Callithrix jacchus: one gene and its partner. Each later gene encodes a partner of the first gene's protein in a complex. Links are inferred from orthologs where the notes say so. Each region holds a gene or a part of one and is shown on either strand. Other genes may lie near its edges.

Evidence for each region.
Region 2: STX5 (region 1) and BNIP1 share a complex: the UniProt entries of both Homo sapiens proteins name them as parts of the SNARE complex. The link is inferred for Callithrix jacchus from reciprocal best matches to the Homo sapiens genes STX5 and BNIP1.

The regions. Positions count from the first base shown.
Region 1 is NC_133511.1:120,104,867-120,108,385, forward strand, and holds part of STX5 (syntaxin-5), read right to left. Parts: intron 771-3,519; coding exon 654-770; intron 574-653; coding exon 517-573; intron 353-516; coding exon 271-352; intron 1-270. UniProt on the Homo sapiens protein: Mediates endoplasmic reticulum to Golgi transport.
Region 2 is NC_133503.1:65,519,776-65,523,294, forward strand, and holds part of BNIP1 (vesicle transport protein SEC20), read left to right. Parts: intron 1-1,113; coding exon 1,114-1,232; intron 1,233-3,519. UniProt on the Homo sapiens protein: As part of a SNARE complex may be involved in endoplasmic reticulum membranes fusion and be required for the maintenance of endoplasmic reticulum organization. Also plays a role in apoptosis.

The sequences.
Region 1 (3,519 bases):
AGCAATTTCCTTGACCCTCCACTCTCCTACCCAACACCTGCCTTTAGAAGATGCCATCACAAGCTGGGCACGGTGGCTCATGCCTGTAATCCTAACACTTTGGGAGGCTGAGGCAGGGGAATCACCTGAGGTCAGGAGTTCAATACCAGCCTGACCAATATGGTGAAACCCTGTCTTTATTAAAAAGAAAAAAAAAAAAGAAGAAGATGCCATCACAATCAGAGTAAGTAGCCTTACCTCCTGGGGCTTCCCATTTTACCTGTGACTTACCCAGGTGGTTAGGGGCAAGGGGCAGGGCTGACACAGGTGCCCGGGAGAACTGCTCTCTCCGGCTCCTCTGCTGCTTCAGGTTCTGGGATTGGGGAAAAATGCAAAGGACCTGAAGCCGCTAGAAAGCAGGCATGTTAAGGAGATTCCCACTGTTGGCCCATGACCCTGTAGGACTTGTCCCTTCCCCATTTCCCTCCTGGATCCTTACCCCCATATTCTTATCCCTCCTATGCAGATTGTTCTCACCTCTGTCCTCACTTCTAAAACCGATTTGAAGTCATTGGACATAGAAGCCAGTTTCGACTAGAAGAAAAGGAGAGAGGGTCAACCAAAGACTCCACATTCCTCCCCTTTCCCTCCCTCCCTTCCTCCCCAGGTCCCACCTGCAAGGACACCACAATGGTGTTGGAATGGGTCTGCAGGTGCCGGCCACTCTGGCTGCCCTTGGCCCTCACGAAATCTTGGAGCTGAGCAATCTGTTTGTTGAGGCTATTGATGTCCTGGTAAAAGAGCCCACGGAAAAATCAAGTATTAGCCAAGGAGTCCTCAGTCAGCTTCTCTCCCCATGGCCATCTCTGGTAGGAAGGGCAAGGTGGAAGTTACTAACTAAAGTGAGAATATCCCAGACAGTCAGACCAGATGGGCCTACTAGAATTTTCCAAAGTCTAGTATATGCTCTAGCTCAGTCCCTGCAGAGAAGAGCTAGAAAGAGGCAAAGAGGGCTTCATCTATTTGTAAATGACTTGTTTATTCCTCCAGCCTACTGCCCTGGCTCCACTCTGTGAGGCCATGCTCTTGGCTACAGAACTCTTTCAAAGGCCAAAATCTTGGGTCTAGAGCATAACCAACAAAGCACCTGGACAATCCTTAGGAAAAAGGAATAGCCAAAGGCACTGTAGTTTCCAGAGGCATCAACAGAATTGTTTTTATAGACATAATTCCTTGGTGGCTGACACCTGTAATACCAGCACTTTGGGAGGCTAAAGTGGGCAAATCATGAGGTCAAGAGATCGAGACCATCCTGGCCAACACAGTGAAACCCCGTCTCTACTAAAAATACAAAAAAATAGCTGGGTGTGATGGTGCACACCTGTATTCTCAGCTACTTGGGAGACTGAGGCAGCAGAATCACTTGAACCCAGAAGGCGGAGGTTGCAGTGAGCTGAGATTGTGCCACTGCACTCCAGCCTGGTGAGAGAGCGAGACTGTGTCTTAAATAAAAAAAAAGTGCCGGGCGCGGTGGCTCATGGGTATAATCCCAGCACTTTGGGAGGCCAAGGCGGGTGGATCACGAGGTCAAGAGATTGAGACCATCTTGGTCAACATGGTGAAACCCCGTCTCTACTAAAGATACAAAAAATTAGCTGGGCATGGTGGCGCGTGCCTGTAATCCCAGCTACTCGGGAGGCTGAGGCAGGAGAATTGCCTGAACTCAGGAGGTGGAGGTTGCGGTGAGCCAGGATTGTGCCATTGCACTCCAGCCTGGGTAACAAGAGTGAAACTACGTCTCAAAAAAAAAAAAAAAAAAACAACTTTTTATTGGCCGGTGCAGTGGCTCATGTCTGTAATCCCAGCACTTTGGGAGGCCAAGGCAGGCAGATCACGTGAGGTTAGGAGTTTGAGACCAGCCTGACCAACATGGAGAAACCCCGTCTCTACTGAAAATACAAAAATTAGCCAGGCATGGTGGCATGTGCCTGTAATCCCAGCTATTCAGGAGGGTAAGGCAGGAGAATCACTTGAACCCAAGAGGCAGAGGTTGCAATGAGCTGAGATGGTGCCACTGCACTCCAGCCTGGGCAACAGGAGTGAAACTCCATCTCATTCATTCATTCATTCTTTCATTTATTTATTTATTTTAAAAGAAAGGGTTTCACCATCTTGGTCCGGCTGGTCTTGAACTCCCGACCTCAGGTGATCTGCCCGCCTTGGCCTCCAAAGTGCTTGGATTACAGGCATGAGCCACCACGCCTGGCCAACTCCATCTCAAAATAAATACATTAATTAATTAAATTTAAAAATAAAAGTTGGCCAGGCATGGTGGCTTATGCCTATAATCCCAGCACTTTGGGAGGCTGAGGCGGGTGGATCACGAGGTCAAGAGATCGAGACCATCCTGGTCAACAAGGTGAAACCCCGTCTCTACTAAAAATATAAAAATTAGCTGGGCATGGTGGTGTGTGCCTGTAGTCCCAGGTACTCGGGAGGCTGAGGCAGGAGAATTGCTTGAACCCAGGAGGCGGAGGTTGCAGTGAGCCGAGATCGTGCCATTGCACTCCAATCTGGGTAACAACAGCAAAACTCCATCTCAAAAAATTAAAAAATTAAAAAAATAAAAATAAAAGTTATTATTACAGCTGAGTGCAGTGGCCCACACCTGTAATCCCAGTACTCTGGGAGGCTGAGGTGGGCAGATTACTTGAGGTCAGGAGTTTGAGACCAGCCTGGCCAACATGGTAAAACCCCATCTCTATCAAAGATTAAAAAATGAACCAGACATTGGTGGTGGGTGCCTGTAGTCCCAGTGACTAGGGAGGCAGGAGAATCACTTGAAGTCAGGAGGTGGAAGTTGCAGTGAGCCAAGATTGTGCCACTGCACTCTGGCCTGGGCAACAGAGGAAAACTTCGTTTCAAAAAATAAATAAATAATTTAAAAATAAAGTTAGCCAGTCGGGCGCAGTGGCTCACACCTGTAATCCCAGCACTCTGGGAGGGTGAGGCGGGCGGATCATGAGGTCAAGAGATCGAGACCACCCTGGCCAACATGGTGAAACTCCATCTCTACTAAAAATACAAAAAGTAGCCAGGTGTGGTGGCACGCCTGTGGTCTCAGCTACTTGGGAGACTGAGGCAGAAGAATCACTTGAACCCAGGAGGCGGAGGTTGTAGTGAGCCGAGACTGGGCCACTGCACTCCAGCCTGGTGACAGAGCAAGACTCCACCTCAAAAAAAAAATAAATACATAAATAAAGTTAGTCTTGGCTCTGAAAGAGTTGCTCCATAATGGCAGTGATTAAAAGAAAAAAATGAACCCTCACAAGAACCCTACGAGATAGGTACTGTTAATATTCCCTTCTTACTAATAAAGGAATTGAAGCTCAGAGTAATCAAGAGCTTCCCCAAGGACTCAACATAAGTGCTAGACCTGGGATATGAACTCAGGTCTGTCAATCCAGTAAGCTGGCTCTTAAATGCCTAGGCAATAACACCCCTAGTTAATGGAACCCTTTCTTTTCCATTAGTGCATCA
Region 2 (3,519 bases), on another chromosome or scaffold:
CTGTTCTTTTGTTTTTCTGGGCTCTCATAATAAAATAGGTAACAATTGGCAAGGTGTAAAATCCATTGTAGGGAATCCCTTCTTGTTTTCAGCTTGGTGTTTAATTTTATTATATAAGTAATTTTTTAAAGTTTGAAAGAAATGCATACTTATTTGTAGTAAATTGATAAAATAAAGTATAAATTACAAAATGCAAATATCGAATCTTTTTTTTTTTTTTTCCTCGAGACAGTCTCTCTCTGTAGCCCAGTAGTGTAGTGTAGTGGAGTGTAGTGGCTCATCTTGGCTCACTGCAACCTAACCTCCACCTCCTAGGTTCAAGTGATTCTCCTGCCTCAGCCTCCCTAATAGCTGGGATTATAGGGTTGTGCCACTGCACCCGGCTAATTTTTTGTAGTTTTATTAGAGATGGGGTTTCACCATGTTGGCCAGGCTGGTCTTGAACTCCTGACTTCAGGTAATCCTCCCGCCTTGGCCTCCCAGAGTGCTGGGATTATAGGCATGAGCCCCAGTACCTGGCTGAAAATATGGAATCTTATTACTCATGAGCATTTTGGTATATTCTCTTCTCTCATTTTTTTCTTCTACATTTCTTAAGTCACAATTGTACCATACATATAATTTTATATCCTGCTGTTTCAGCACAAAACTTGCTCATTTAAAAAAAAAGAAAACTTTTAAAGCCTAATTCTAACAGTACATAGTATGTAGATTGTATGCTAATACTATCCCCTATGTGTGTTTGCATTCCTAGTGTTTTGGTGTTGTAAGTAATACAGCAGAGCATGTCTTAGAACATAAGGCTTCATCTGCATTTTGGATGTTTCCATTAGAGGGATGTTCAGGGATGAGATGATTGAGTCAAAGGAATGAACATTTCTAAGGCTCCTACATTGTCAAATTGCTTTACAGAAGGTAGCACCGGTTTCTGTTTCTACTAGCAGTCCATAGGAGTGTGGGTCTCAGCATATCCTTGCCAGCATTGAATGTGATCACTTAAAATATATATGCTGATTGGGTAGGCAAAAAGTGAGATATCATTTGGATATGGGGCCTTCTTGCAGGGAGACTTTTGTTGACATTCTTCCTCTTTCTCTTCCTCTGAACTTTCAGGAAAACTACCAAAGAGAGCCTGGCCCAGACATCCAGTGCCATCACTGAGAGCCTCATGGGGATCAGCAGGATGATGGCCCAGCAGGTCCAGCAGAGCGAGGAGGCCATGCAGTCTCTAGGTAAAGCTGGGCCCAGAGTAGGAAGCGTCTCCCAGAGACACTGCTCTAGCGCCCTAGCCCTGGCATCTCCACCCTGGGCTCCTCCACCACGGCCCACACGAAGTTCACTGACTTGGGGGGCTTCTTCCTCGTGAGATGACTTGACACCTTGGTCTTATCCATAGTGGGGATATGCTGCTCTTATTTCCCTTTACTAGGAGACCCCACACCCCCATCAGTGTTTCCCCAGGGCGGGCATTCCCAGGGTCTCAAGTGTAAAGCAGAGGTCCCCAGGCCCTTTCCTAGAGAAGGTGTTGGCAGAGGTGGGTGAGGGGCCTGGGAGTCTCATTTACAGCCAGGGCTCTGGGTACCCATATGGCCAGGCAAATTTGGGAATCGTTGCTCCACGGGATGTTTAGTGAATTGGCTGATGGTAAGACTGCTAGGACCTTAGTTTACAATTATACTCCCCAATGTTATTTTTCCTATGAGTTCTTTTTAAAAGATGAGAGTCAAAGGCTGCAGGAGAGATTGCTTGAGACCATCTGGTTCCCTCCAGTAGTTTTCCCAGAGTGGCTCCTCTGTGACACAGAAGAGTATCAGCCCTCTCCAGGGTCCTTCAGTATGAGACAACAGAAAAAGAGGGTTTACTCTTTGAAATGCTTTTGGAACATTGCACACATGGACAAAAGTAGAAAGCATGGTATCCTGAATCATCTGAGCCCTGAGCCCATTACCCCAGCCAGACTCGTTTCAATTCTACCCTCAGCCCATCTCCTATCTGAATTATTTTGAAGCAAATTCCAGACATTGTCCATAAATATCTCAGTACATCTCTGTAGAGGATGAGGGGCTCTGGGGAAAAAGCAGAAACAACCCCAGAACCACAATACCATTATCACCTCTAGAAATTATCTTTAATTTTGAACCACTTTTTTTCAGTGCAGCAAACAGGCAGAAGCAAAAGGAAAGCAAGCAGGTGATCCCATGGTCACTCTTTGTGTTTACAACTTACCTGAACATTTCAGCTTAGAACCAGCCAGGGGCCTTCTCTCAGCGTGTCCTGTGGGAGAGGCGTTGGAGAGAGAGGGAGCAAAGAGACAACTCAGCCTCTGAGTCCAGGGCATTTATGCTCTGGTGTGGTGAGAGGATACCCCCTCACTAACAGTGGGAAGGAGACACAAATGCTGGTGGTTTCTGGGGTGTTGAGAGGGTCCCAGTGTTCTTGGGGCCCATTTTATAGAAGTAATAGCTATTGAAAAAAAGGGAAGAATACAGTTCTCAACCCCCTCCTTATCCCTCATAAATTCAGCTTGATTTAAAAGCCTACTAGGACCATAATTGTGAAACAAAAATCTTATTAGGAATATGGTATCTGGAATTTGCTGCACAGTTGTAGGAGTAGGGGAGATGGGGTAAGGGGGAACAGGATTTCAGAGGTTGGTGGTTCTTGGTTATGGGTGGTAGACATATGACATTTCATGATACTATGCTGTCTGCTTTGTGATGGTTCAAAATTCTCCATAATGGTAAAGTTTATAAAGAAAGACCTGTTAGGTTTTTACTTAGCAAGTTCTTAGGGTTTTGAAATGGCAGCAGGCAGGCGTGGAGAAAGAGTGGAGAGGGATTCCCGTTCTGTGAGTGTTTGCTTTTCTCCTTTTATCTGTCATTTTCAAAATGCTGCTGTGTTTCCTCTGATAATTTATCTTATTTACTTATTAGCTTTTAATTTGTTAAAAGGTAACACATACAACATAGAGAAGGATAAAAAACTCTAGCCCAGCACTGCCAGTAGAAACATAACAGGAGCCACATATGTTAACTTTAAATTTTCTAGTAGGCACATTTTAAAAAGTAAAAAGAAACATAAAACATTAATTTTAATAAGATAGTTTATTTAGCTCATTATGTAAACTATTACAGTTTCAATGTACAACTAATATTAAAAATTATTGAGATATTTTACCTTCCTTTTTTTCCATATTAAGTCTTTGAAACATTGTGTGGATTTTGGCCAGGCAAGGTGGCTCACGCCTGTAATCCCAGCACTTTGGGAGGCCAAGGTGGGTGGCTCACTTGAGGTCAGGAGTTTGAGACCAGCCTGGCCAACATGGTGAAACCCTGTCTGTACTAAAAATACAAAAAAAAAAAAAAAAAAAAAAAAATTAGCCAGGCATGATGGCACGTGCCTGTAATCCTTACTCAGGAGGCTGAGGCAGGAGAATCGTTTGAACCCAGGAGGTGGAGATTGCAATGAGCCAAGATCACACCACTGCACTCCACCCTGGGTGACAGAGTGAGACTCTGT